Notamacropus eugenii: one gene and its partners. The protein of the gene in region 3 interacts with the protein of the main gene of each other region in a pairwise test. Links are inferred from orthologs where the notes say so. Each region holds a gene or a part of one and is shown on either strand. Other genes may lie near its edges. The genes, in order: YES1, TUFM, FUNDC1 and GABARAPL2.

What was found.
Region 1: the proteins of FUNDC1 (region 3) and YES1 interact in binary tests that used the Homo sapiens proteins (3 or more experiments, as listed by UniProt). The two-hybrid records come from large-scale screens. The link is inferred for Notamacropus eugenii from reciprocal best matches to the Homo sapiens genes FUNDC1 and YES1.
Region 2: the proteins of FUNDC1 (region 3) and TUFM interact in binary tests that used the Homo sapiens proteins (3 or more experiments, as listed by UniProt). The two-hybrid records come from large-scale screens. The link is inferred for Notamacropus eugenii from reciprocal best matches to the Homo sapiens genes FUNDC1 and TUFM.
Region 4: the proteins of FUNDC1 (region 3) and GABARAPL2 interact in binary tests that used the Homo sapiens proteins (3 or more experiments, as listed by UniProt). The two-hybrid records come from large-scale screens. The link is inferred for Notamacropus eugenii from reciprocal best matches to the Homo sapiens genes FUNDC1 and GABARAPL2.

What each region holds. Positions count from the first base shown.
Region 1 is NC_092875.1:243,865,533-243,872,876, forward strand, and holds the start of YES1 (tyrosine-protein kinase Yes), read left to right. Parts: upstream 1-4,121; 5' UTR 4,122-5,115; intron 5,116-7,049; 5' UTR 7,050-7,150; coding exon 7,151-7,154; intron 7,155-7,344. UniProt on the Homo sapiens protein: Non-receptor protein tyrosine kinase that is involved in the regulation of cell growth and survival, apoptosis, cell-cell adhesion, cytoskeleton remodeling, and differentiation.
Region 2 is NC_092872.1:46,584,708-46,592,588, forward strand, and holds the start of TUFM (elongation factor Tu, mitochondrial), read left to right. Parts: upstream 1-4,628; 5' UTR 4,629-4,938; coding exon 4,939-4,981; intron 4,982-5,403; coding exon 5,404-5,444; intron 5,445-5,573; coding exon 5,574-5,739; intron 5,740-6,003; coding exon 6,004-6,170; intron 6,171-6,423; coding exon 6,424-6,528; intron 6,529-6,736; coding exon 6,737-6,901; intron 6,902-7,196; coding exon 7,197-7,329; intron 7,330-7,475; coding exon 7,476-7,580; intron 7,581-7,694; coding exon 7,695-7,846; intron 7,847-7,881. UniProt on the Homo sapiens protein: GTP hydrolase that promotes the GTP-dependent binding of aminoacyl-tRNA to the A-site of ribosomes during protein biosynthesis. Also plays a role in the regulation of autophagy and innate immunity.
Region 3 is NC_092876.1:429,739,283-429,747,120, reverse strand, and holds the start of FUNDC1 (FUN14 domain-containing protein 1), read right to left. Parts: upstream 3,086-7,838; 5' UTR 2,767-3,085; coding exon 2,739-2,766; intron 2,395-2,738; exon of another isoform or gene 2,309-2,394; intron 2,203-2,308; exon of another isoform or gene 2,088-2,202; intron 1,486-2,087; coding exon 1,329-1,485; intron 1-1,328. UniProt on the Homo sapiens protein: Integral mitochondrial outer-membrane protein that mediates the formation of mitochondria-associated endoplasmic reticulum membranes (MAMs).
Region 4 is NC_092872.1:712,633,547-712,640,884, forward strand, and holds the start of GABARAPL2 (gamma-aminobutyric acid receptor-associated protein-like 2), read right to left. Parts: upstream 3,083-7,338; 5' UTR 2,901-3,082; coding exon 2,867-2,900; intron 2,584-2,866; coding exon 2,528-2,583; intron 1,608-2,527; coding exon 1,435-1,607; intron 1-1,434. UniProt on the Homo sapiens protein: Ubiquitin-like modifier involved in intra-Golgi traffic. Modulates intra-Golgi transport through coupling between NSF activity and SNAREs activation. It first stimulates the ATPase activity of NSF which in turn stimulates the association with GOSR1.

The DNA of each region.
Region 1 (7,344 bases), on a different chromosome or scaffold from region 3:
GGATTCATGTTGAAATAATTTAACACGTCTGTTTTAATATTCATGCCTCATGGAAAAAAAGATTTGTAAACTCTTTCAAAATTTTGGTAATTTTGAAGCAGTAATATTTCATTAATGTACATGATTTATTACATAATGTAAAAAGTTAATTTAGAACTCATACTGACATCTGTTTGGGTAATTCGTTCACATGTTGGTACTTCTAGTGGTGAGGGGAAAAGTTGGTGGATGTCTTTTTCTGCAATGGAACAACCATCTATGTGTATGTATGTATATATACACCATACATGAAAAATGCAAGTAAAATTGGAGATCTTTCAAATCTGATAGTTTTCTTAAAAGTGAAATTCTTCCTTAAAGACTAAGACTGCTCAGATCACCTAGTTTAACTTTCCCGACATTCCATTTTACAGATGAGGAAACTGCCCAAAGTCAAACTATAGTAGTAAGAAGAAATAGTTAGGATTTGATTCCAGGTTCTTTGATTTGAAATCTAGTTCCCTTCCGGTAATGAAAGTATTAACAGGTTATCAAAATTTTGTCTGTGCAAAATCCAGAGTTCTGCAATTCCGAAAAATTTGGGGAAAATTATATTTGGCTATGAATATACAAGCCAAATACTTGTATACTGGAAATGTATCTCATTTTACTTATATACAAATGTGATGTATTTTTCTTCTCAGCATAAAAGACTGGGGTGGGGTATATGTATGTGTGTGCTTGTGTGTTCCCAAGCTACTGAGAGCTGTATAGATGGTATGGTTATCAAATTCTCTTGTCTTGGGAACTTAAAATCATTTTATGTGAACGAAGGTGCTGTTTGGGGCTTTAACTTTGACTTTTCACAATAGAAAATGTAAATAGATAGTTTACTTAATCTAGTGTACTTGACTAAATTTACATCTATGATTCATTGATTTCTTTTCATAGCAATTCACACTGGGAAATTTTAACCTGTTCATAATTTGAACATATTTCAAATCTTCAAAATTACCAAACTATTTTTGTTTTTGTACCTAGTGCTTTTTCCCCTCATTTGTAATGTGTTCATTTTATCACTCAGCATGGAGGGAGGGACCATGTATATTTTATTTCATTTGTATAGTACACAGCATCATTTTTCTTAGAATGTTTAAGCAAATTTGCTTTTTTAACATCAGAAATTTCCTTCGTTTGTGCAGACTTTGAAATTTTGAGTTTACAGAATTTATGAATAGGAGAAAAATATTGTATAATAATTTCATCCCTGTAAATAAATTGTAGTCGTTAGATTTGTAGAATTACATTTGCCTCTCTCTGTGCATGGATCCCTTGGATCTGAGGGGCTAAGAAGTTCTATGCTTCTACCCCCTTCCCTATTTTTTTTCCTCTTCAGAATTTGCTTTTAAAACATCTTTGTCTTTCTGTTAATTTGTCTAGGTCATTTTTGTGGTGTGTATCAATTTCAAAGTATATATATTATTTTCACTTTTCACTCTTTCAGCTGCTCTAGGATTGGGGGCCCTGGGTTCAGCTGCAGCTGCTGGGTGACTTTGACACCATCTACCTTCTGACAGCTCAGAAGGAGATGTAGCCGAAGGAGCTTTAAAAAGTAGCAGAAAGGAAAAGGAAATAACCAGTGTTGGGGCTAGTATTTATTTAACTTTTGTATGCCAAAAAATCTTTGATTACAAGGTCAGTGCTGCTGCTTTGGGAGATCAACTTTCTTTTGAAAAATAATTCTTTTTTATTAGGAACCTAATAAACATGAACATATCAATGTACATAGAACAAAAAAGGATTGTATATGAAAATGAACTTTTGTTATGAAATTTTTTAAAGTGTATATTACATTTGTTATCATAGTAAGAATGGATCTTCTGATTCTGTTCACTCTGCATACAAGTCTTCCCAAGGCTTCTCTGAGTCCATTTTTTTTCTCTTAAAAGAGCCATAATATTCCATTGCATTCATTTACCATAGTTTATTCACCAATTTCCCACTTGATGGGCATCTACTTTTGTTTCAAGGGTTTTGCTAACATAAAAAGTACTGCTGCTGCAAGTATTTTTGTGCATATTTTTTTCGCCAAAACTCTATTTGACTTTTTGAGGTATCTGCCTTGTAGTAGTATCATTAGGTCAAAGGGTATCCACAACTTAGTCACTTTTTTGGTATAGATACCAAAATACTTTCCACGGTGGTTGGACCAATTGACAGTGTATCTCTCTTTCCGTTGTCTCCTTTCATTGTCCTTGCAGCTAGCTATTGCTCTTTTCTTTTTGTTATTTTTGCCTAACCTGTGGGTTCAAGGTGTAGAACCTCTGTGTCATTTTTATTTGTATTTCTCTTACTAATGATTTGGGACAATAACTTTCTTTTGAGAACTATATATTCTTTGACCATTTATCTTTTCAGAAATGGCTCTTATTCTTATATATTTTTATCAATTCCTTATATATCTGTGACATTAGACTTTTATCACAGACATTTTTAGGATCTATGAACTCATTGACAGGATGACCTGGCCTGGTTGGGTATAGAGATGGTGTGGTTCCCTAAAAAACATAGGGGTGAGATACATGCTTACAAGATGCATGTGAGGCACAAATGAATTGAGTTCTGAGGCCCAGGAGTTAAATGACTTAACTTAAATGACTCATGGACCATTCCCAATACCCATCCCCACACCCCCTACTCCAAGATCCCTCGTTCCTTTCTGATTAGATGTATACTTCAAGCTAGATTTGAAGCTGTTAATTTCTTTATTTTCTGTTTTCCTTTCTTGGAAACACTCTCCTCTCTTATTGAAATGATCAATTTTTAGGTTTCTTTCATGAAGACCAGTGGTCTCCAGAGCCAGGTGGGTTGCATAAGAAAAAAATCTATTGAAATGCAGAAAAATAATACTAGAATGTCTACTTCTGTTTATTTTTGTCATTAAAAGTTATATTAAGCTTTACTAATTTTTGATATACAGATTGACACTGACCCTTTCACTCCTTTGTTAATCTCTTTCAGTACTGTGATGTATTACAATTTACAAGTGCCCAGTTGAGGGGATTTGTGGATTATGTTATTTAGTTTTAGCATAATTAATGCTGAAAAAAATGGATACATGGTGTAAAAAAGATAGCTACAAAGAAACCATGGATTGAGAATATTAATAATGAGATAAAACTGTTCACGTGTGAAGAAATCTGCCAAAAAAGTTTAAGATTTAAAAATAAATTTTTTTGTGCCATCAATAAGGACTCTTGCATTGGTAAGTCCCATCTCTAATATAGATTGGCTGTGTGACCCTGGACCAGTCCTTTAACCAACTTCTCAGTGCTTCAACAAATTCTCTAAGACTGTAAGTTGCAAAGAAGGATACTGTCTGCGTTGGTAGAGTAAATCTTTACCCAGGAGCTCCCAAAGTGACAGTTCCTGGCCCCCTTTCCCCCCCTCCCCCCCAAATCTATATACTTTTTTTAAAAATGTAAAAAAATAACTTTCTCATCTGTACAAAAGTCCTCCTGGTGAACAGTTTAAGTGGTCTTTGAACTGATTTGCTTAAAAATACAAATATGTAACACCTTCCAATTGTAGTTTGTAAGTACTACAACTGATTGACTTCAGGAACTGGATTGAAATACAAACCTTTGCATGATTGATGTGTAAGATTGAAAAATGAGTGTCCAATGTCCTGGCTTAATGAATGCAGCTAGTAATGTACTTCTTAAATTTGGAGCTGCATATCTTTGTGAGTTTTTTTAAAACATTGATATGGCTTTTAGATTCATAATCTCATTGAACACATTTTATAAACTGACAGTCATTAAAAACACATATTGAAACAAATTGAACTTAGAATGAGGCCTTTGAATCTCTATTTCACAAAATGCTAAATCAAGATTTTTAAAAATCATAATCATTTAATTATTCTACTGTCACTAAAATATATATGCCTATGGAATATATCACTACAAAAATTACAAAAATATTTATGCATAAAATACTAGTAATAATATTTTAATAAGGGTAAAAAAGCTTTTTACCCTTATTTTAATCCCTTGTTTTAAAGTACTATTTCACTTTTAGCCTATCCTTTGTTAATTTCTTTGTATATGTTTCATGATGTATTGGTTTTGTATGTGATATATTGGTTTTATATGTGATATTGGTTTTGTAGTATATGTATATAATTTATAAATAAATGAACATGTATCAGTGTAGTTGGAAATTTTTTGCTGTTGTAGTGCATGAACAAAAACATTTGGAGCCTAGTGATTTAGAGAGCTATTGTTATGTGGAATCCAGAAAGTTTAGAGGTTAGAACTCCAGTTGCCAGCTCTTTAGCTGAGAAGTGGAATTCTCCAGGAGATAGTGCTTGTCCCCATCCAGCTTTCCTTCTGTATGTAAAAGTCACACTTTTCAGTAATCCTTCTATATCCAGATGTTCAAACTATAACCATAGGTTTTCCCTTCTCTTTAGTCTCACACAAAGTCTTAGGGAGAGGTAAAAAAGAAAGACTTGTACAGATTTCTTATAAATAATGTAATGATGGTAATAGTATTTTTTGCCAAAATTCATAATTTTGAAAACATGCATTCTGTTTCATTTTGTAGCATTGTTAGACGAGGAAAAAACTTGTATAATTTAAGTATCCAAATATATAGTAAAGATAATTATCGGCTAGTAGAATGTAAGCTTCTTAAGGTATTTTGGATTTTTTGCATTTTTGCTAGGCACTGAAAATATACATGCTAAATTTCATGTTTTGAATGCTTAATACATACTGTTCACTTAAATTGGGAATTCATGTCCTTATTGAATGTTACAGACATATGTGCCTTTGTGTGTATACATACACGTATATACACACACATATATGCAATACATATATATACATAACACACACACACACATATATCTCCAAACTAACAGATGCCATTGGAAAATTGATACTTTTGAGACAATGCTGCTATTAATGTTAATGTAGTATAGGAACATCCCAAGTCAACCCCAATATCAATTTGACTTGTTTTTCTCTTCAAAACTTTTTCTTACTGTGATTGTCTAGAGTCTAAGCTGTTTGCCTTTACAATCCTGAAAGGAAGGATGGGAACATTTGAGAACACATTGTCAGTGTGGTACGTTGACATCAATACAGTGTATTGATATTGATTCTACGGACATATTTTATGCATTGCCTTTATAATGGAATTCATAATTTCAAACTTTTCCTATATCTTTTCGGGCCAAGTCTGATAGTGTTTAAATTTTAGGAGAATAGACAAGGATTGTTTTAAAGGCTAAGGAAGGCTAAATTCTATGTTCTAGAATGAGTTTGCAAAACATTCAGACTTTTTGGGGGATTGTGAATCTAACAGCCATTTTATTGATATGTGTAAATCTAACTTTAAAAATCATTGTGGTTCAAGTGAAATGAATCTTTACTCAGGACAGCTTCTGCCCCTTCTCCCCTTAGTCTTTTTTGTCCTGGTAAAAAGTACAAAGCAAAAGTATTGAAATATGAACTTTATTTGGTAACGTAAAAGTCTGTCAGTACACTAACAATGACAAGTCCATATCCTTTTAAGAAATAAATTTTAAGGTGGGAGAGGAAAGATTTTCTGATTTTCTTGATGAAGTAATGTGTGGTTTATTCACAGGATCTGTCTGGTGGGAGGATTAAAGGGGAGTGGAAGGGACTAGGACAAGACAGGAAGTACTGGGAGAAAGGATTGATGACTGAAACCTCAGAATAAAATTAATTTTCTACCAATATACATAACAATTTGTTTAATATGTCTGCTTTTTATGGAGGCCAGTTTTTAGAAAAAACTTCAGCATTGTTTTCATCTTATGCATTAGAAATTTTTTTGGTTAAGAATATGATAGATGCTTTTACTATGAAAATAGATTCTTATAAATATTCTATAGGAACCTTATTGATTTATGACTTTTTCAGGAAAGGCATACTGTTTTTTAAGAGAAACACAAATTTTAATATTTTTTTCCCTTCATGATCATGTAGCATAAATAAAAATACTTAAAAGTAGAAAAGAGGCAGTATGAAAAAAAGACTTGGATTCCACTTTGTAATCCTGTCTCTGGCTGGCCTCACTGTTCAAAAATTCCTTACAGCTTTGAAATTCTATGGCTTTTCAACTTCCAGTTTTTCTCCCTAAACCACACTAATAAGTGTTTAGGGAAGACCTTCAGAAATTTCAGATTCTGTCCAAATAAACTAGAAAATAAGCATGGTCCTATCAAATCTGAATATTAGGTTATCAGATGAGTCAGAATTGTAATTAAGACCTTTGATTCCGAGACTTGGCATTGAACTTGGTGATGATGTCTTTTGTGGGGTTTATTCTATATCCTGTGCAAATAATCATTTTGGTAGGTTAATAGGTTATGTAGTATAATGGAAAGATTACTAGATTATTGATGGAGTTGTGAATTGGTTTCAGTCATTCCAGAAAGCAGTTTAGAATTAGGCAAAGAAAGTAACTAAAATGTCATTGACCCACAGATTCCATTGCTACAAAGGTACAATAAGAGCACCAAAATATTTTATACACCTTACCCTTATATACCAAGATATTTTGTTTTATAGTAGCAAAGGCCTGGAAACAAATTCAGATGCCTGTCAATTATGGAATGAAAAATGCAAATGAAAAGCATAAAATTATGCCTCAAAATTATTATTACAAAGTTTGGTCACAAAGACAATATTTGAGGAAGCACCTCCTCTGTTTCCTTTGAAAAAGAACAGAGTGATGGGCATGGAACACCACATACGATGTCAGGATTTTTTGATATGTAATTTTGGTGAGCTGGCTTTTTGTCTTTTTTTTTTTTTAATTTAATAAGTAAGAAATAGTAATCTGGGAGGGAGTTGGGGGTAAAGGTACAATGGAAACTAAAAATAAAAAAGATTTAGTAAAAACATATTTCAAAAGTTTGGAAACAGGATAAATTTGTTTACATTCAGTTCTGAGAGATTTTCATTATAAAATTTGTATGTGTTGTTTAATGTTTCTATAAACATTAAAGCTTTTTCTTTTTTCTCCCTCAGCAAAATGAGAATCAACTTTAGCATATGGAAACATTTCTATACTGCAGATTATTCTGTTGGGGGTGGAACACAGGACCCAAGTATTTACAAATAATTGTCAAATGAGTATGTATTTTCAAATACTACTAAAATAACCAAAAATCCTTTGATGTAAGAATTGCCCACAGATACTAGAAGATGCTTCATTAACTTCATTTTTAGGAAGATCATGATGAAGAAAGAATGAGTAGTTTTTTCCTGTTGTATTCTTGTCCAGAAGCTTGTCTCTCATTGCTTCCGTAACAGTTAAGGATTT
Region 2 (7,881 bases), on a different chromosome or scaffold from region 3:
CTCGAGCCCGACCCCTGGCCCTGCGGCGGCGAGGCCCCAGCGCGCCTCCGGGGTGGGGGGCTCCGGGGAGCGCCCGGCCTTCCCTCCGCCCATGGCGGCCCGCTCCGGCGGCCTCCCGGGGGGCGCTGCCCTCGGGGCGCTGCCCCGGCCCCCGGCCTCCGAGCCCGGCCCCGCTCCGGGACCTTCGGCCTTCCCTCCAGTCCCTGGCCCGGGGAAGGGGGGAGGGTCCGAGTGGGGAGAGGAGAATGAGGAGGGGGGTTCCGGTTCCGGTCCCACCTGCATCTCGGTCCCCGCGGTTTGCTCCGGCGGCAGCAGCAGCGGCGGCTCCCGCTCCCCCCCCACCCCCAACCACCAGTGACCAGCGACCAGCCAGCTACTGCGCAGGCGCCGGGACCCCCTTTCCCATCAAGGAAAAAAAAAGACCATAGATAAGCCCGCGGAGAGAGAAAGGCACGTTCCCCGCCGACTTCCTCCTCCTGAGGCACGGGGATCATAGAGACCGTTCTCCCAGGGTGTAGGAATAGGGGCTCTTCATGCGGAGGAGGAGGAGGCGCTGGGAACACTCGGGCGTCTCCACCACTCGCCCCTCAGGGTGGAACATCCCCTGAGGCGTCCCGCCGAGATGGCTTAGTCTAGACTAGGACCTCCCCTGCCATCTTCCGTAAGGAGGACGGAGGTTGGCCGGCCGACCGACCATAGAGACGGGGCCTCGCGATAGAGTATCCCAAACAGAGGCAGGGGAGCGTGAAACCAGAGAGAGGACGGCGCCTCCTCCAGCCGGCTAGAGGTCACAGAGAGGTCAGGTGGCCTCCTAGAGCGCCGGATTCTCTCGTTCTAGGAAGAAGAGGACAGCGCCCCCTGGAGGAGGGATGTGGGAAGGCTGAGGTGACCTTGAGAAAGAATTCCCACCTCCCAGCTGGGGAGTCTAGAACCTGAGTTTATGTTCAATGGTTTTCAGTCGTGTCCGATTTTTTGTGACCCCTTGGTGGGGTTTTCTTGGTGAAGATATTGGAGTGGTTTGCCATTTTCTTTTTCAGCTCATTTTACAGATTAGGAACTGAGGCAAACAGGGTTAAGTGACTTGCCCAGGGTCATACAACTAGTAAGCGTCTGAGGCTGGATTTGAACTGAGGTCTTCCTGACTCTAGACTCAGTGCTCTCTATCCACTGTGACACCTACCTGCCCCTGAGTCTAAGACCTTGGCCTTTTTCTGGGCAAGAAACAGCAGCCCCAGAAATGCCTTGAGGTTCTTCCTCAGCACTTGGGGGACTGATATCAGACCAAGGGGAATGCAGTGGTCTTGATGGGCACATCCAAGGAGACCTCCACCCTTGAGTCTCCAATGGAAAAAAAACCCTTCATTGACTTCCTGCCATGTCTGTAATTTACAAGATAGTATAATGGACTGAGAAAGGGAAGTAGAGAACCTGAACTTAAATTCTGGCCCTAGAGACATTCTGAGTCTCAGTTTTCTCTTCTGTAAAATGAGGAGATTGAATTAAAAGACTTGTATGGTCCCTTCTGTTGATGCATAATGATATATGAGCCTGCTAATAGTCATGGGATGGGGTAGGGGGGGCATCTCCAGTCCTGATCTATATCTTGCCACTGGACTAAGATTGTTCTGGAGGAGAAAGTGAGACTGGTTACTTTGTAGAGCCCTGCCATCCAATTCACTTGCAAGTTATGACATCACCTTCTGGACGTCATGGTCCTCTTTGAGAAGGAAGGACAAACAACAAAAGTTGTCTCAGGGGTTTCAGAGATAGCTCAAAGAAACCAGTAGAATCAAGTCACTTTAACTGAAGATTCATGTGGATGGTGTTTTGTTTCTAGGATTCTACAACTACTTCTGTGTTAAGGGCTTGTATTTAACATAAGACAACATGGTGTAGTTTATGTACAGACTTAGAGTCAGAGGAGACTGGAATCTGAGTCCAGGCTGTAACGCTTATTAGCTTTGTGATCACAGACAAGTCTCTTGACCTCTCTGAGAATTAGTTTATCTGTAAACTGGAGATTACATTTGTATTAAATATCCCATGGGCTTGTCATAAGTATGACATTCATATACCATAATTCCCCAATAAATGGACCTCATCCCCTTAGTTTCAGGCCACTATGAAAAGTGCTGTTGTATTTTTGTATACATAGGTCCTTTCCCTCTTTTAAGTTCTTTGGGATATAGCCCCATTAGTCAAATCGCGAGGTAAAAGGTATGCAAAATTTACAGACTTTTGGGACATGGTTCTATGTTGTTTTCCAGAATGGCTGAACCAATTCAAAACTCTACTAATAGTACATTAGCATTCCTGTTTTCCTTCAGCTCTTTCAACATTTGCCATTTTTTCTTTTTGTCATCCTTGCCAATCTGATGCATTCGAAGTAAAATCTCAGTGCTGCTTTAATTTGAATTTCTCTGTTAATGATCTGGAACATTTTATCCTATGGTCATTGATAGCTTGTATGTCTTCCTTTGAAAACAGCTTGTTTCATGTTCTTTGTTTATTGGTGAATGGCTCTTATTCTTATAAAATTTGAACCAATTCCTTATGTATCTTGGAAAGGCCTTTATCAGAAAAAAAAGTTGTTGCAAAGATTTTTTTCCCTCAATTACCTTTTTCCTTTCTAATTTTAATTATAACCAATTTTGTTTGTACAAAAATTTTTACGTTTTATATAATCAAAATTGTCTAATTTATCATCTATCATCCTTTTCCCTTGTTATAAGTTCTACCTAGATGTAGACTTTGATAACTCATTTTTATAGAACTCAAGAAAGATGCTCTGACAAAAATATGTATCCCCTGATTCTCAGTACCCAGACATCTTTAAGGAAGGCCTGGGGAGAACAATAAATACTCTGTTCTTTCAACTAGAGACTGTGGCACCTGTGTAGCTCCATGTGTGGTATGCCCTTCTAACAAAGAAAAGCTCTTATCTAGTTGATTGGGAAACTCATCGTATTGATCGGGATTCTCCTGGTCACTTGCTACAAATATGGTGAGAACTATAGAAGAGGTACAGAATACTTTGAGAATTCTGAGAAAAAACCCTTTCTGATCAAGAATTTTGCCAGAAGATTCACTAAGTAGAAAGAATTTGAGCTGGGCCTTGAAGTAGTATATGATTCACATAGATGGAGAGAATAGATGAAGACATTCCAGATCGAACACTGACCACGTTGGCTGGAACATTAAGGCAGGATGCAACAGTGGGATTGGAAAGGTAAGGTAGGAGTCAGATGGTAGAGGATCTTGAATTCTAGATCAAAGAATTTGGATTTTATCCTGTAATAGTAATAATGATTCACATTTTTATGGAACTTGAAGGTTTTTAAAAACACTTTCCTTCTCACAACAACTTTATAAATTAATATGAGCACTATTTCCCCCATTTTGCAAATGAAGAAAGTAAGGCTAAGAGAAATGAAATTATCTATTAAGTTTACACATTTAATAAGTATCAGAAAGGGTATCTGAACTCAGGCCTTCTGACTCCAAGACCAGTCATTACTCTTTCTATTATACCACAAAGCCTGCTATACATCTGGGAGAACCGCTGGGGATTTCTGCTTAAGACAGTGACATGAGCAGAGCTGTGTTTTATAAAAGAATCTGTTTGCAGGATGGATCAGAGAAAGATGATATTGGAGCAAGAAAACCAGCTCGGAAGGTTGTGCAGTAACTTAGACTAGGGGCCTTAACACCCCCATTTTAGAAGTTGTGGGTGGCTAGGTATCTCCCATTAAGAAGACTGAGTCTAGCACGTTAGGTAAATTTTATTTGTTACTGATGTAAGACTATTTCCCTTTCAAAAGGGGAACCCAAAAGAAACTCAATAGAGGAATTTCTGGCAGAAACCAGAATGGATCTTCAGGGCAGATATGGGAGACCCCATTCCTCATGCCTTGGAGAAATAAGCCACTGTACTTTGGAGCTCCCTGGGGAAGGTTCTGTGCTGAATAATGAGATCTCAACATACCTAGGTAGTCTTAGACTCCTAGCATATTGAACCCCCCCCCCCCAACCCATTTTGCAGCTCTGCATGGAAACCACTACCTTCTCCCCAACCCCTTGTCCCCCTCTTACTTTGGGGCCTATACATCAATCAGCAGAGCCATTGCTTCTGGAAAGGGTGTGCCCATTGCCCTACACCTCCACTCACCATCCCTCTTCCTTTCAGCCCAAAACATCCTTTCCTATGGAATATCCTTGCCGTATTGCCTGCCCTTGTTAGGTTGCGAGCCCTGTCAGGGTAAGGACCGTCTCGCTCTTGCATTTTCAGGGCTTAGCACAGCGCCAGGAGCACAGCAGAGTTACAGGGATAAGGACCAGATCTGTGATTTCAATGACGCAGGGTGCCCCCCGAATGAGGACACTACCAAGGCAAGTGGCACCTTGTCTGCAAGACCGCTCAAATGGTTTTCTTCACTCATTCGCCCGGGGTGAGTAGGGTATTTGAGACATAAAGGGCTCCAGCCCCGAGTCACTTCAGGTCAAGTGGGAAACCCCCGACTTGCCTACAACCATCTCCTAAAAACTTCCCCAGAATGAGCCCTAGACAACCCCTACCCTCAGATGACCACAAATCCCAGAAGGCAACACAAAAGGGGCGGGGCTTTGTTGTTGTTCCTGGAGATGCATGATGGGAGCTGGCAGCTGGTCTATGTCTCCGGCCTTCGGCCCCAGTCTTCTTCCGGGTATCCCTGCCTCACAGGAAGTCCGCCACGGCGGTCCTAGAAGGAACCACTCCGTAGTCTCCCTTTCCTGCCCTTCGTCACTTCCGTCCGACGGAAGTGCTTTCCAGTTCCCCGTGCCCTTAGCGTCTCGCACGCCGTCCCGTCCCCGGTCCCTTTCCCCTCTGGCGCTCTTTTCCTTCTAGCGCTTCCATTGGCCCCGTTCCTCCCCCTCCGCCCGCCCCCGTCCCTCGTCGCGATGGCTGCAACCGTGATGTTCCGTGCACGGCCCGGGCCCGGCGGTAGGAGGGAGGCTGCGGGGCCTCTTGACCCGGGGGCAGAGCAGAAGCGATGGGGAGAGCCGGCCGAGGCAGAGCGGGGAGGAGGAGGGTGCCATGGAGGGGGCCGCCGGCGGGAGGGGTGCTGGGAGAAGGGGGCGGGGCGGGGGGGGGCGCCGTGGGGGAAGGGGCCGCCGGCGGGAGGGGCGGGGGGAGGAGGGGGCGGGGCGGGGGGGTGCCGTGGGGGAAGGGGCCGCCGGCGGGAGGGGTGCTGGGAGAAGGGGGCGGGGCGGGGGGGGCGCCGTGGGGGAAGGGGCCGCCGGCGGGAGGGGCGGGGCGGGGCCGAGGGGTAGAGGAAGGAAAGCCCAGAAGGGGCGGCCGGGGGTGGGGGAAGGGAGAGCTGCGCTTTTCGTCCTCTGACGCCTTCCCTTCCCTTCCCTTCGCAGCCCTGCAGAGCTGCCAGCTGCTGCACAGGTTCTTGAAGAGGGTAAGGACACGTCCCAGATCCCACCCCTGACCAGGGCGCGAGGGAGGGGGAAAGCTGCGTGAGCGTGAGCGGAGCTGCCCTTCTCTGGTGCCTGACACTTGAGGGCCCGGAATTTTTCTTTCCCTGCAGGCTCACCTTTCCAACCCGGGGCAGAGGCCCTCCCTGCCCCTCCTTTTACGGGGCCTGGCTGTCGAGGCCAAGAAGACGTACGTGAGAGACAAACCCCACATTAACGTGGGCACTATCGGCCACGTGGATCACGGCAAAACCACACTGACAGCGGCAATCACCAAGAGTAAGACCAGAGGAACGTGTCTGTGGGGGAGGGCAGCGTCTTGGTTGTCGGGGGTCAGAAAATATATATGAACAGGTGGGCATTTTAAAGGGGCACTGCTAGAGGATATCCTGCGAATCTAGGTGGGGTGAGAAGCAGGGCGAAGATAGAAACTTACAGGATCCTTGTTTCCCGGATGTTGCTTGCCTTATTCTTGAAATGGGATCTGGACTGTGGTTAGGTGTACGTATTCCCTTCAACTCTTTCTTCCCTTCTGGTTCCAAGTTCTGGCAGAGGGTGGTGGGGCCAAGTTTAAGAAGTATGAGGAGATTGACAATGCACCAGAGGAGCGAGCCCGTGGTATCACCATCAATGCAGCCCATGTGGAATATAGTACAGCCACTCGACACTATGCTCATACTGACTGTCCTGGGCATGCCGACTATGTCAAGGTGAGAGGAATATACTGGGCAGCCTGAGGCTTGGAACTCTGGGGAAGATACAGAAATGTCATGGTTTTACTGTAAGGTGCTGGTAAGAAGAAAGGAGAAAACAGAGCCTTAAGGGGAGGATTTAAGGCACAGGAAAAGGAGGAATAGTGGAGAAAGACTGACCACATCATGGCCCTTGGAGAAGAGAAAAGCAGAAAAATTTGAAAGCCAAAGCAAATTTTCATGTTCAACTAGCATCATTCTCTTTCTCCAGAACATGATCACGGGCACAGCCCCATTGGATGGCTGCATCCTGGTAGTGGCAGCCAATGATGGCCCCATGCCCCAGACAAGGGAGCACCTGCTGCTTGCCAAACAGGTATCAGTCTCTTCAGATGGAGCCTTGCTAGAAATCTAAGTCTGCAGTGGGGAAGGATGGTGTAGGGAAAGGAAAGCAGTCTTTAAAAAGGGCTCTGAGGTGAAGCATGGATTCAGTGCAGTCAGGATCATTCCTACATTGCATTTCAAATGCCCTTTTCTAAACTTGTCTGTAAACCTTGTTAATGGGAGCAATTTTCTCCCACCAGATTGGTGTGGAGCACATGGTAGTGTTTGTGAACAAGGCAGATGCCGTCCAGGACAATGAAGTGATAGAGCTTGTAGAGCTAGAAGTACGGGAGCTGCTCACTGAGTTTGGCTATGATGGAGAGAAGACTCCTGTCATTGTTGGTTCTGCCCTCTGTGCCCTTGAGGTAAGGGGGAGTAGAAGGTGGCATGTTGGGGGGTGATTCTCCTTGGGGTTTTTTGTTCATTCTCATTCTCTCATGGGGATACCTTTGAAAGGGTTGTCACATGACCCCAGGCTGGACTGACCATCTGACCCATTGTCCAAGATTTTGTGAAGAGGAAGACTTATGATTGGAAGACTGAATAGGAACTTTAGCCCATGTACCACCTCTCCGCTGCTGCTGCCCTGTATTCTTTGTCTTCCTCTTTGAGGAAAAAAACTGGCTCTTCCCTGACCCTATGCTTCTCCTTTAACCATAGCAGCGGCAGCCAGAGTTAGGGGTGAATTCTGTAATGAAACTGCTCGATGCTGTGGACACTCATATTCCTGTGCCCGCTCGGGATCTGGAGAAGCCCTTCCTGCTGCCTATTGAGTCTGTTTATTCCATCCCTGGTGAGATTGCTGCTTTATATTTTTCCCAGCTTCTTTGAGCCTCCCCAGTGGTCTTTCTCCTGGTTTAGAATCATCCCTTCTTGGCATTTTTAATTTTCCCCAAATCCCTTGAAACCCTCCCCACATTCTAAGCCTTTCTGTTCTAGGTCGTGGCACAGTAGTCACAGGGACCCTGGAGAGAGGAACTGTGAAGAAAGGGGATGAATGCGAATTCTTGGGCCACAGCAAGAACATTCGTTCTGTGGTCACAGGTCAAGTTCACATGCCACCATTAAACCCTTCTTCCTATTTCCCCTGTTCTTGCTTACCGACTGAGACCTTGTCCCTCTCCCTGTTCCTGCCTTCAAGTTGCTCTCCTATTTCAGGAATTGAAATGTTTCACCAGAGTCTGGAACGAGCTGAGGCTGGAGATAACCTTGGTGCATTAATTCGGGGGCTGAAGAGGGAGGATGTTCGACGAGGCATGGTGATGGTTAAACCAGGCTCCATTCAGCCCCATCAGAAGGTTGAGGCTCAAGTAAGCTATAGTTGTCCCAGGAGTCCCTGGGCTGT
Region 3 (7,838 bases):
AGGGGGAGAAAATGACAGAAGAAAGATTTTCAGGGTCTGGATCAGGAAGACTGAACACTTATGGGTAAGGTAAGGTGATGGGCATGATCATCTGAGCTGGAATAAAGATACATATGGTGACAGGAGATGAGAAGGTTGATGAAATGGGAAGATAGGGGTTGGCTGAGAGAATCCCAACTCAAGTTCTCAAGTATAAGGTTAAGATTTGTAGCAGAAAGACTGTGAACCAATTAATGAAGTGTGTACTAGTAAATAAATACCAACAGGGTTTAGAAAGGGTGATTTATTTGGATTTTATGAACTTAAAAGAGCACCAGTTGCTGAGTGACAGCAGCAGAGGAAAGATCTCGCTTAATAAAAGAAACCTCTCCTGGTCTAAAATATCAGGAGCTAGAATAAAAGGTACATATGATTTGGGTGGAAAGGGATGAAGTATCTTCTGGCGAAAACCAGGTGTCCTGGAGTGCAAGAAGATGGATGGAAAGTTTTGTTAATGACAATGGCGGTTCCTCAGGACCCAGTGGAAAGAGAGGGTGGAACCAGACAAGGACTCAGAGAAGAGCTGAGATGGATGGAGTGTTAACAGAAGGGGGAGGTGAGATTTCAAGAAGCAGGCAGGCCATCTTAAATCACAGTAATTAGAAGGGAAATGAGAGTCTGCAAGCCAAAGAGTGGAGATATACTGACTTTTGGCCGAAGAGTCCCACCTCAAAGGTCCCTTGATTGGAAGAGAAGGAAACATCAGTTACCTCCATCTCAAACTTGAGGACAGAAAGAAAAGGCCAAGGTATTTATGTTAACATGGGCAAAAAGTTAAGACAGGTATCTGAGAGTATGATGTTGACAATAATTTTTCCAAGACATAATTAGAAGAACACTAAGTTTAGCAGCACTAGTAAGGAAATACCCTGATTACCTCCACTATTCACTTAAAAGACCAAACTAAACTACTGTAAACCAAGACACCTAACATTGGTTGTAGATTAAAATATTACAATTATGAGTATTGGCTAATGTCTGTTTATCTCCATTGGCATATACCTTACTTTATTGAAAAAGAGCTCTTTTAAGAGCTAGTTAACTATTTTTTGGTCCTGACTTGTGATTTCATCTGTAAGCATTCCTCCTAAAAACTCAATATCAGAAAATATTCTACACTTAAAGCCTCAAAGTTAAGGGTTTAATCCCTGCTCACACAGCCATTATGTTTTAGTCTTAAAATTCAAGTCTGTAAGGGTGTCCTGCCAATCTACCACTCTCAGTTAAGTATGAACAAGTCTTAATGAATCAATGACATCCTACAAGATTAAAAAATGTTACATTCTCACCATCCAGTAACTCCACCCAACACAATCTGAGTAGCTACGGAGTACTTCTCTACAATAGGTCCAGAGCTGTGGCCAAATACACGGTTCCACCAGTGGTGTCTTCTTGCATACTCTGTTAAATCGAGTACTTCATAAGAATCATCATCACTGTCATGTTCTTTCACAGAGAAAAAGGAAAACACAGGCATTAAATTCAGTCAAAAGCCAGGAAATGGTCTTCAACAGTTTAAAATTATCTCTCTTTCTAGTAAAATGGTTTCTCTGAGAACTCTTAAATTTTGACTTTTTTGTGTCTAATTCCAGATACCAGAGATACATCTCTCTATGTCTATATCTATATACAAGATACATATCTGTGTGTATAAAATCTTGAGTTCCTACTGTAAAAAAGTGATAGCATCTCGAAGACTTACTGAAAGACGGAAGTCAAAGTGGATGGGGGAGGTAAGCGGTCTATGGAAGTGACTTTGATGGTAGGCCTTACAGTAAGAGTGACAAAGGGGGAAGGGTAAAGGGGGAGAACCAAGTCTTTCTTCTCTTTCACCAGTGAAAGGCCTCCCGACGGCCCAGACCCAGACAAGGGGGTGGGGCTGAAATAGACAAGGTAAACGCTGGGGGGGCTGAAATAGACAAGGTAAACGCTGGGGGGGGGGGGGGGGGAGGGGGGCTGAAATAGACAAGGTAAACGCCGGGGGAGCTGAAATAGACCAGGAAAAGTCCCAGGGATGTTCACACAGCTCCTCTGGCACGGGCACCTCGGGGAGAGAAGAGGAGCCGGCCTTCCTGGAGGAGAGGGAGAAGGGGGTGCACACAAACACGGGTCTGCGGCCAGGGCAAACTGCATTCAGACTCTGGGGACACGCTGTACAGCAAGGTCAGAAGGAGAGAAGACCCGGCTGTGTTCTGGGGGGGGGGGGGGGGGAAGGGGACGAGGAAGAAATGGGCGTGGGGGAGGGTGGCCTGTGACCAGGCGGGCACCCCAATAAAGGAGGGGGCAGCGGGGCTACGTCTGCAAGAAAGATGGCAGGAGGGGGATGGAGCGGTGCGGGCACCAATACGGAAGAGGGTAAATAAAGACTGGGGGGGAAGGGCCAGCGGGAGGCTCTGGGGAGGAGAAGGGGGGATTCCAGGGCAGAGGGAGGGGGTGGTTAGGGAGTTGTTTGGGGGTTTCTGGGAGGGGCAGGAAGGTTGTGAAGCTCAGCGTCTGGGGAAAGGGCAGAGGGTCCAAGGGCTCGGGGTCCACGTAGGAGGCAATGGGGGGGAGGGGAGATGGAGGGGTCGAGTGGGGGAAGGGTGAACGTTGGGCCACGGAGAAAGGGAGGGGAGGGAAATGGGGGTAAGTCCGGAAGGGGCATAACCGCAGTTTCTGTTTCGATTATCCGTCTCGGGGGGTCCCTCGGGGCCGCTCACCTGTGGGACGGGGGTTCCTGGTCGCCATGATCCCGCCGGCGGCCTGTAGTCAGAGACCCCCACCCCCCGCCCCTAATAGCCCCCTAGGAGAGCTGCTCGCCCCACCACTCTAGGGGCCGCTCTACGCTGGAAGCGAGAGAAGTCCGAACTCTATGGTTATCTTCCGCCTTAACCAGCCTTTATTTCTTCTCCCTGACCCCCCCCTGCCCTGCCCCCGGCATAAGACTTCCTGCGCAAGCGTAAACTATGAGGGCCTGAGGGAGCCCTGCTGGGGGCCGCATCCGTCCTCGGCCCCTGAGGCTTGTGGGAATTGTAGTCTTGGTGACCCAAGCATATGAAGATGCAGGGCTGACGCTCCCCTGCTGTGCCTGTGCCCCGCTCCCCCTTTCCCATCTTCGTTCTGGTGACTGAAAGCAAGAGGCCGGGGACTGGGGACATTTCAGTTCAATTCAATTTATATTTACTACGCTGGAGATAAAATTAGAGGCCAAATGCAGCCCCTGCCCTCCAGGAGTTTAAAATCTAACTTGGGAGACATGCCAATGGAAACAAAGCAAGGATAAATTAGAGATAATTAACATAATAATCTATCCACCCCCAGCCCCCTTCCATTTTTCTTTCTCACATTACTAAAAATTCAATGCAAAGGTAGGAGGGGAAGTGTCTCAAGAAAACAATTAAAAAAAAAAAACATAAAGCACTTTAGAGATGGGAAGGAGACTTAAAACTGAGTCAAAGTATCCCTTGGAGGCAGCTTAATTCAATCACCTTTTCTCCTTGGCTCCTCCCCCACCTGCCCCAATCTCCAGATATTGACTATTTCCCAACAAAAAGGAGCCCTGTGAAATCAAACCCAGATCCCTTAATTTGATCATTGGAAAGGTCTGTGTATTCCCTCCATCTTCCTAGACTTCAACCCTCCTGTCACCACCACTCTTCCCCCCCATCCTCAAAGCTTCCAAATCTTTAGGGATTTATTCATGCCTTCACTGAAAGCCTACCTAGATCTTCCTAACAAAATAGAGATATTACTTCTAGTTCTTGTGATTTAAAAGACAGAACAGTAGGGAAAAGGGTAAAGGGAGTGGGAGTGATAATCAAAAAGGTAGAAAGAAAATGATGGATTAATCAGTGAAATAAATTGCAGAAGAGAACTTTTGAAAAGATGGGAAAAATGAGGTTGGCTCCTGCATTCATTTGCCCCATGGGATTATATATATGAGAGGGCGGGGAATGGGAGTGGGATTAATAAAGTCCAGCTTTATTAATGTAATCACAGAAAGTAAATAATAAGTTGTTAAACTAACTTTTAAAAAATGAGGCCCCACCTAGAGAGCCCTTTATGAGGTGCAAACAAGTTCCTTGTCTGAATTTGAAGGGGAGCCTGGCCATTGGCTGAGAAATAATTGGCCACACCCCTAAAAGCCTTCAAAACAGCCCTACCTGGAATTTCTGGAACCCTATAGTGGATGTAATTTTAAGAGTTGATCCCTGGATTGGAGAGAGATCTAGTCAACGTACTTTTAGAGTTGACCCCAGGATTCAAGCCCAGGCAAAAGAATGAAAGCTGGACCCTGGAGCTTAATTGACCTACCAATGCAACAAAGACCTAGGATTCCACACTAAAAGAAAGGCTATTCAGGACCTGTAATATTTGGAGACATAGTTACCTTGGTCATACGGGTACTTCACTATAATTATGTTTCAGTTGGTGCCCACTGTACCCACAAGATACCATGTTTATTTGAGGGAAAACTAAATCCAAGGTTTACACAAGGAAAATTATAGCTAACTATTATGTCATTTGGTGAGTTGTTTCCTTAAGCCAGTTGATTGTTTATGAGAAGCACACTAGATGGTGGGGAATGAGCCATATTGTTCTTAAGAGGGTTCTTAAGAGTACCCTGTGTCCTCAACCTGCAAACTAGTGAGTGAGACATGAAGAATGGTGTTGATCTGATCACCAAGCCAACCAAACAAGTTCAAGGAGAGATTCTCCCTGAAAAATGTTTGGAAGACCCATTATAATAGCAACTCATCTGTACATTTAAGCAAAACAGTATTCACTAAAGAAAAAGGCTAAATCTTGGTTTGCTGTTCCAGATTAATTTTACCTCAAATCAATATTCTGCCTCTGCTTTGCTGAACTTTGCTTTTCAAATTCTGAGCTATCAATGCCTAGACATTTGTGCTACTGAAATCTTAGCCCCTTCCTGAAGAAGCAAATCTAAGATTGTTTGGAGATGGCATTCATTTTAAACCCAAAAAGCAGAGTACTGTATCAGTCTGGGGAGAGAAAAATGAGTTCAGGGTTGTGTATCTGCAAAGAAGGAGGCTGTGTGGGGTAAGGTTATATGTAGAATGGATACTTACTGTATTCTAAAAATTCTAAGAAATAGATGAAACTATTTTTTTCTCACTTTATTCAATGATTTTAATTTTTGATTAATTTGCATGGATTTATAATAAAAATGCTGAATATGTGTAGCTATAGTCTAGCAAGAGCTAGTACATAAACTATGCAAAAATGAAAACAGGTTGCCCCATAAAAGAGGGCCTGCTATCCTTAGAAATTTTCAAGAAGAGATTGAATATGTTAAATCCCTTACCCAGATATCCCATGGGATTGTATGGAATGAAGAAGAGTATGGAGTACAAAGCCAGGTTCCAGGAGAAAAGATCATCATATAAAATGGTGAAACTATATTGTCAATTTTTCCCATCTAGACTTCAACAAGCTACCCTTCCTATATATTTGCTAATAATACAATATTAGATGACATTTTTATTGTGGATTAAAGTATACAAAGGATTTCTAAATACGTTTTGCATTTGATCCTCACAACAACCTATAAAAATAAAAATACCTGTTTTAAAATGATGAAACCAATCTAGAAGGGTTATGGCTTGTCCTCATTGCTTAATAACTGTCTGACTGAAAATCTAGGTCTTTGTGACTCCAAGATCAGTTCCCTGCATTATTCCATGCTATGTTGGACTAGATTATCCTGTTTTAGCTTGGAAATTTTACAGTTTTATATTAATTATTTAATCAGTTTATGATATATTGGCTCTCTGTAAGGACCATGTCCCTTTTAGACTAGCAAATTTGAATTTACATTATGAGGGACAAGGCCTTTTCCTATATGAGTGAATTATTCCACTCCTTTTAGGCAAAGGATTTTTTCCAGCCACTCATTTTTACTGAGCAACAGAAGAACATAGAACTTTAAGAGTACCCTGAACTCTAGAGCTCTTTGGTAATTATTGCAAAAGGTCATTCATGACCTCGCTTGCCAAGATGAAGATTTGGGAAATGTTCTACTGATAGTCATTCTAAATTGGGGTGAGGTCTCTTAGCACTGAGGGAGCCCATTGTTTAGGGAGTAGAAAAGAAGAAACTTCTTCCAATCTAGGCTACCTATTTCTGAAAGAACACAAGTAAGTATCCTCCATTGAGTGTTGTAACTAACTTAAGCTGGAAGTGGTAGACGTTAGAGTTACCCTTAAAGAAACAAATTCAGGGATTTCCAGGGAGCACAGCCAAGATGACAAAGTAAAAGCAGGGACTTCCCTGAGCTCTCCCCCAAAGCCCTCCAAATACCTGTAAAAAATGACTAAACAAATTCTAGAGCTACAGAAGCCACAAAATGATAGCGTGAAACAAATCCCCAGCCCAAGACAACCTGGAAAGTCAACAAAAAGTGTCTTTCACACCAGGTAGGGAGCAGAGTGCGGTCTAGCGTGGACAGCACCAACACAGACTGGCCACAGCAGACCTCAGGGGACTGAATCATTGGCAGCTGTGGTGGTTACCAGATTTCTCAACCCACAAACCAAAAAGGTCAATGGGAAAACTCTGTGGGACATGGGTGAAAAAGGAGTTGAAGGTCTGGCCCCAGCCTTAGGGCAGCAGCTGCAGCAGAGACTGCTTCCAGAGCTCTGGGCCCTCAGAGGGTGGGGTATCAAGCGACTGATACAAAATCCCTGAAGCCTGGTACAATAAATCCACCCCAACCTCCCCTACTCCCACTGGAAGCATAGTCCTACCTTGAAAGAGAGTTAGAAAGTCAGGTGTTTGGCTAGGAAGATAAGTAATCATAAAAGAACTCAGACTATAGAATCTTACTTTGGTGACAAGGAAGGTCAGGGCATACAACCAGAGAAGGACATCAGAGTCAAAGCTTCTACATCAAAAGCCTCAAAGAGCAAAAGGTATTGGTTGTAGGCCATGGAGGAGCTCAAAAAGGAAGTTGAAAATCAAGTAAGAGAAATGGAGGAAAAGTTGGGAAAAGAAATGAGAGTGATGCAAGAAAATCGTGAAAATGGAGTCATGATTAACTAGAATCCAGCCCTTCCCTTCAAAGACATCTAATCTGAAAATGATAACTTTCCCAACCCCCAAGAAAAACCCAGATGTACAGGTAAAACCATAAGATCTGTGTATTTTCACATCAGATTGTAAACATCTACCTCAAAACATATTTTGAGGATTTTTCACTTTCAGTGAGCCTAGAAGTCACATTCCCGTTGGGGGATAAATATTTACATTTGCTAAATTGAGGGGAAGAAGCTTCCCAAGTGACAATGTGCCAGGCCTAGAGGCCTGAGGGCTACCCGAGTCTTACCTTACCTGTCCCAGGTCTTCGGTTGGCCAAACCGGATAAACGTATGAGAGAAGAGACTTTCCGGAGTCGAACAAGGGTTAGGCTTTATTCAGGGTCCTGGTTACATGTGCAGGGGGAATTCTTCCTTAGGAGGGAGAGAGAAATCTCCCAAGGAGGCAAAGATCTTACGGTAAGAGATTGGAAGCAGAAGTGTAAGTGGGGAGAGAGGGGGAGGGGAGAGCGAAGAGAGGAAAAACGGAGCCTTCTGTCCTGTCAGGGCCCCTCCGAGCTAAGAGAGCTTTCAGGCTTTCCTGATCCTAATTAACCTCTCCGGCCGCATAGTTTGCACCTGAATACCGTGCCTGTTAGATAACAATAGGTGTGCCCAGACCCGGGCCAATCTCGAGGGCGGGGAGAGCTCTCTCCCATCACGTTTCTCACGGGAAGAGGCGGAAATACACGAGATAGCTCGGTCTCACTCCTCGATTCCCTG
Region 4 (7,338 bases), on a different chromosome or scaffold from region 3:
ATGAAGCAAAAACAGAGCTTTTTAAACTTGATTGCTAGAGTTTCAGATGGTAGGTAATGAAGTCCTGCTTCTTATCATATGATGACCCCCCATCCCCATAAGGAAGGACAAGAGCTAACTATTGCTGTCCAACAGCTTTCAACCCTAGTGAAAGAAGCACCAAGAAATGCCCTGCCTTCCACTCCTAACCACAGGCCTCATCAAAGAGAGGGAGGGCCAGAAGAAGTGACTCCAAAGTGACAAGTTTGTTCCTAATAAACCTGAAACTTCTCAGATGACAGCTGTGGCTAGCCCAAGAACCTCAATGGGCCATGGCTGGGCTTTTCCTTTTCAGGTAGGAATCACCACTACAAGGCCAAGATCTTATTTCTTATTCCATTTCCACCCTCACTAGGAAGTAGATATTGTTGAAGGGACTAAGGAAAAAGGAAGTAACACCTAAAAAACCAAAGCTGTTTACTTTTAGAAGAAATAAAGAATGAGTTTGGTTTAGATCCCTCCTCTGGAGCCTCAAAGGTTTCCAAATCAAGGGCATTTTGTCCACACTGGGCAAAGTATTTGTTTTCAAACATTCTCTTTTTGGAAAACAGATTGAGCCTAAACCAGTCTTGACTCTCTTCTGGTCTCTGATGTTACAAAGGGCCAGGAATCCCCTTTCAGACAGCAACACAAAACAGGAAACCAGAATCTGGCCATAGGCCTGAGAGTAATCAACGTAGAGTAAGAGAAGAAGCAATTACGAGTTTAAAGTCTATTTCCTTTCATACAGAAGATAAAACTGACAAGGTCAACACAGAATGGGAGAAGACTGCCTTGAAACTGGATTTTTGGTCCCAAGTTGTAGTTAGAATGAAGTTCCAAGCAGGAAAACAGCTAGAGTGCTAAAGTTATTCTATTGCCAGCCAAAGCAAAAAGTGATAAATAGGAATCAAAACGAACAAAAACCTAACAATCCATGTAATTCTCATAGCCCTTCACAGGAAACCAGCCCTAGTAAATGATAATCAGACAGCTAAAAAAACGACTGCAATGAGAAAAGCTGACTGAAGCATTTGGAGACACAGCCAACAAGGTGATTAGTTCAAATCTAGGACTCTGCAAGGCCTAATGAAGAGCTCCAGGAAGCATGGGCACTACTAATTTTTGGACTATTAAAGTAGACCTTTGTCTCAAGCCTCAGATCCGGAGTTTAAGCTCAGCCCCAAGAAGCTGCTCTCAATGGTTCTTAACAGTATGCATTCTCCACTTCACAACCTGCCCTAGTACAGATGGATACTATCATGGCATCTTCCCCTTTCTTCTAGTTATTACTTGAAAACAAAAGCCTACATTTCAAGACAATCCCTAAGAGATTAAGGGCCAAAAAGTACTTGAGTACCACAATCAACCCATCAAAATAAGTGTTCAAAGGATCAGTAAGTGACTGCCTCTCACCTAGACTGTGGGACTGTTTTATCCACAAACAGGAAGATTGCTTTCTCTGAGGGGAGCTGGATCCGTTTCCTGATGATCCACATGAACTGGGCCACAGTGATGTCAGATGGAACCAGGTACTTCCGCTTGTCAATGTCAACAATCTGAGAGCCTGAGACTTTTTCCACAATCACCTGGAAAAGCAGAGGTCAGGGTTAGCTTCTGAAATAAAGGCTTTAATCTGTCATGTGCTTGGGGAGCTGATGAAGGCACACTGTGCTAGAAATGTCAGGGGATTAAGAGGAAGACAGAACTACATGATAGAATGGCAAAATGTTACCTTTGCTGCTGAAAATTATACGCTTTGGAGAGTATATTTATATGGTGAGCTGTTTTCTTTCATGAAGTCAGTTACTGTATTCTACATCCCTGATCAGAGGCACTTACAGAAAAAAGCAGCTCTTAATGTATTGAACTTTAGAAAATCAAGTGAAGAAAATTATTCATTTTAGTTCCATCTAATCCCCCAAAGTTCGACCCACTGCACCTCACAAGATAATTGAGTTACCAAAGAAACGTTACAGTTGGAAGGGACTCCACGGTTATGTGGATGAGGAAAACCGAAGACATTAATGACTGGCTTAAGGTAACAAAGCCAGTAAGTGATGGGAACACCCAACAAGCAGAGGCAGGAACCTGGCAGAGAACTTTTAAGGAACCGAGTGGTTAACCTGCCCCCCTGGTTCCTCTTTCTGCTGGCCGGTCTTATTTCGGTTTTCTCAAAGATTAAGAATTCAGGTGTGTGTCCTCCGAACCCCGGCCTCTCCCCGCCCTCCCCTCCGAGAAGAAAGCCTGCGGCAGGTACGGAGCCCTTTCACCAACCTGCCGCACCCTTCCGAAGGGGGGGCATCAGGGCAAGGTGCCCCCGCCCCCGTGCTCCCCTCGGCCCGTCCTGGAATCCCGTCCCTTCCATAACCCGGAGGGAGCCTGGAGGCTGCCCCAGATAGGACACTCGGCGGCGGTGAAGGCCCCGGCCCCCTCCCTGCGCCCCCTCCGCCCCCCGTGACGCCCCGCAAGGACGGGGGGCGCCGCCGGAGCCCCGCTCCCTACTCACCGGGACCCGGTCGGGATATTTGGCTCGGATTTTGGCAGACTCCACACATCTGTGTTCTGTGGACGAGACAAAGTGAGGGGTTCGGAGCGGGGGTCCGCGCCTCGGGCCCTTCCCTCGCCCCGCGGCCGAGCCGGCCCGGGCGGGGTGGAGCCCCCGGGGAGGGGCGCCGCGCTCGGCTCCGCCGGCCCCCGCCCCGGCCCTCCGGACCCTCCGCCGCGGGCCGGGCTGAGACTGGGCCCGGGGCCCGGGGCGCAGAGGGCTCAGGCCGGGCCGGGCCTCGCCAGCCGCTCCCCCGGGCCGACCCCGGCCTCGGGCCCGCGCCCCCAACCCGGCCCTTACCCAGCGAGTGGTCCTCCTTGAACATCCACTTCATGGCGGCGGCGGCGGAGAAGGGACGGAGCCGGCTCTCGGAGCCGCGGAAGGGACCGGACGGGCCCGGCCTCGACAACAACAAAAACAGCGGCGACGGCGACGGAGGAGGAGGAGGAGGAGGAGGTGACGGCAGCGGCAGCGGCGGCGGCACGAGAGGCGGGACTTCCGACTGACGGAGCCTAGCAACTGGGCAGGGGGCGGGCCTTCCGGCGACAGTCGCTAAGGGGCGGGGCCTGCGCTACGCAGCCCGCCCAGAAGGCGTAAGCCACTCTCCCATACCTCTGGAGGAGATCTAACTCGAGGGAGGGGGATCGGTGACAGTGACAGGTCTGTAGGAGGAGGGTGACGTGACCCGTCTGTGGGAGGAGGGTGATGTGACCCGAATGTGGGAGGAGGGTGATGTGACCCGTCGGTAGAGTCCTGGTGGGGAGGGGTGATGCTGACAGGTCCGTGGGGTCACTAGGGGCAGGGGCGGTGGTGACCGGTCCGTGGGGGGCTCTAGGGGGAGGGGTGATGCTGACAGGTCCGTGGGGTCTCTAGGGGACAGGTTCGTGGGGGGCTGAAGGGGGAGGGGTGATGCTGACAGGTCCGTGGGGTCACTAGGGGCAGGGGCGGTGGTGACCGGTCCGTGGGGGGCTCTAGGGGGAGGGGTGATGCTGACAGGTTCGTGGGGGGCTCTAGGGGACAGGTCCGTGGGGGGCTGTATGGGGAGGGGTTGCTGATGCCTGCGGAGGCAGAGAAGTTTCATGACTGGGAGCTCACTTATTACAAATGAGATTCCAGTAAGAGACCCCATCTCTGGGTTTGGTCATGTCTCATTACTGAGCGGAGGAGAGAGGGAAGTTAGAGGTGACTGTCAGGACTGATGAATTCCCTTGACAGCGGGTCATAAGACTGGCATTCCTGTGGGCCATTCTGAGCAGGGTTCAAAAGTCACAAGGCAGTGTGGCACAGGTCACCTGCCTTTCCTCATACTTTAAAGGTTCTCCAGCTGGTGATGTAATTACGTTCCTCCAAACAATCATCTGGGAAGAACAGGGAAGTCATCTGTTTATGAGTAATTGAACTTTTAGAGGGTGTGTTGACCAATTTATGTGCACGATGCATATCACGTGCTGGCGACTCTGATGTATCTGAAAGGTCTCTTTTTTAATGCTGGTCTTCCTTCCTTACCTACAATTAAAATTCCTGAGACATGTCACGGAGCCTAACTACATCTCAAATATTTTAGTTATTTTGAGGTTGCACCTCTGAGCAACGCAAATATTTTGAAAGTGAAAGTAAAAATACTTTGCATTTTGACCAGACCTTTCTCCCAGAGAGTTCTTTGCAGATAGTGTATTTATTCTCAGGACCTGTTTCCAAAGGACGTGTGAGCTTTCCTGTTTTAGAGACAAAAGTACTGAGTGGTAAGGTGGTTTGTTCAACATTATTCAGGAAAGCAGTAGAGTTCCAAAGGACCTTGAATCCCTTTCGGCTACCCCAGCCAGGTTGCCCTATATATGTATTTATGACCACCTCTGCTTAAAAAGTAATTACTTTTATACCTCTCTGGTTTTAAGAGTTATAAGGACTCAAAGCTACTTGAACCATCTTGCATCCCCATGTACCTCCTCCTGAGCTTTTCATAGCTCAAATTCTAATTATGTAATCTTTCATGGTCTTTTCCATCCACTTTCCTAGCAATATTTTTTTTTTGTTTTCCCTATTCCGTCTTGACTATTTTAATTATCTACCTACTAGTTAAGTCAATATTTCAATGGTCTTCTCTGCCTAACAAGACACGGTAAGTAGCTACAAAGGAAGTAAAACACATAGATCCAGTCCTGGAGAAGCTTATAACCCTAATAAACAAGGTAGAACCCTATGTGAAAATACAAATAGATTAATTTTTAAATGCTAGGTGAATTACAGGTTTATATTTATGAATACTAAGGATATGTGAATAATTGCAAATGATAGTTTCATGACAGAAGTGACTCAGAAAGAGTTTTGAAGGAAGGAATGGACATGAATTAGCAGATGGAGAAGTAAATGTTCCAAGTCAGGAAGAAAAGGAGCAAAGACTCCTGGTGGATCAAATGACTTGGATGAAGACATTGATGACATGCTTGTCAGGTCGTCAGATGGCTAGGAGCTAGGAGGAATAATTCATTGAAAGACAATGTCAGGATCCAAAAATATCTCAACAACTTAAAATGGTGGGCTAATTTAATAAGACGAAGTGCAATAAAGATAAATGCACAGTTCTACACTGGAGTTCCAAAAATCCATGAAATATGTACAGGATGAGCTAGACACACATAGACAACAGTTCTTATGGGGGGAAAAACCTGAAGATTTAGCTCAAAATGAGTCAATAGGGTGAATGTTTGTTCAAGGCTGTATTACTACAAGAGTCATAATGCCCAAAATAAGGTAAAGTAGTTGTCCCTGTCTGCTCTGGTCCTACTACATCTAGAATATTGTGTCACTTCTGGATGCCACACTTTAATAATAAAAAAATCATATGTACATGTTTGTTTTGTTTATATTTCTTTTTGTACATGTTTCTCCCAATAGGGTATAAACTCCTTTAAGGTGGGGACTGCTTCTTTGTACAATAAGTTGGCTGTAATGAGGAACTAGCCAATGAGGACCTAATCCTTAGAGCAAACTCATATTTGTTCTTCCTGTTCAATTCTACAGAACATGATAGATATTCCCTCCTTCATTCTAATCCAGTAGAACAACTGAACTGCCTCAGTACAAGGAAAAGATTTATCTCCCACCTTTATTGCAACGTGTCCATGAGCATCCTGGAAGGGTAAAGTTTTTAGTATTGTCAGTCACAAGCCCCAATCTGGGGTGCTCCCCATTATCAATCCAACTGTAGAACTCTACTGCTTTTAGAAAAGGGATGTGCTACGAAAGTATAGCAAAAACAATAGTTACAAAAACATTTTCCTTAAGCTGGCAGCATACGCTCTCCATGTACATACAAGGGTCCTGAGTGCAGTGCACTCCCTTAAAGTACAATGGTAATGAGGCATATGTATAAAGAACACATGGCCAAGGGGTACTCCCTGATTCCTGGTGCTAGAAGTTCTTTCCTTCTCGTCATGAAATTCTCATGAGGTTCCTCTTAGGTGTATTTCCTGGATTCTAAGAATCAATGCCTTTCTATGGTCCATAACCAGCACTTTTCTTGGTCCCAAAGGGTTATAATCCTTAAAGTTGCAGTCATCCTTGGGGGTCAGGTTTCTACCTTTATCTGTAGGTGTTTCCTTTGTCACTGACCTCTACTACTGGGTTGGACTCTGCTATTGACTGTTTGTCAGGTGCACTTTGGGTGGCTCTGATCTATTTTGTGGTGGCTAGGACACTTCCCTCTGGGAATAGTTATTCATCTAGGATCAAGAACGAATGAATAAACATAAAAGAAGCAGAAGCAACATGTATTTGAGAACACATGGTGACCAGATGTGAGAAAGATAGCTGCCTTGGGTCTTACCTGCCACATCATGGCAGTTTTGCTTTACTTGCCCCAGGAAGGAAAAAAAAAAAGCTTACTGAGGGTAAGATTACTCCTTTCATTTACACTCAGTTCTATCTCAGCAGCCTCTGAGTCATCAGCCCTTCAAGTTCTTCAACCAATCAGAAGCCTCTGTCACCACATATCTAATTCTAAGAGTAGATAACCAAGATTATGCCTAGAATTTTGAGGGAAGAAATTGTGAGCTGCTCTTTTGGGACCCTGCCCACTCATACATATTATTGGAAGTTGGAGAATTAGCCCTTGAAGGGGTACTGTGTAAGACTTACCAAGCACTTTACATACACTATTTTATTAAATCTTCACAATTCTGTTGTTGCTGTTTTTCCGTCATTCTCAAAGAGGACCATGACATAGGGGAATTGGATGTAAGTGAGGTAGAGCTGTGTAGAGCCACCAGTCTCATTTCTCTGGAGCCATCTGGGTCCAGTGGCAAGAAATAGATCAGGATGACTGGAGATGGCCTTGGATGCATTGTTAGACCTTGCTCTTTTTAAGCTAAGGTCTCGGTGTGAGAGGCAATGACCATTCAGTGATAAAAGCTAGGAAAGAAAAGAGGAAGAGAGTGGATTTTTTGACCTAATCAAAAAAAAAAAAATCTAGGAGAGGAAGACCAGATGTCAGGGTTTCTGGCCAAAACAGAAACAATTGCTATTTACATTCACTCTGGGCCAATCAGGGCCCAAACAATGATCAAGTGGGATTTGGCCTGAGACCTCTTTGTTGGTCAATCAATGAGAACCAGAGTGACTTGGGTCCTTAAGAAAAAAATCTAGCTGTAAACTCCAAGATATCTTGCAAGGTTTCAAGTAGGACTGGAAGGTATTATTCCCATTTTTACAGAGGAAAGAACTGAGGGTCAGAGAAGTTAAGTGATTTGCTCACAGTTGCACAGCTATTAAAT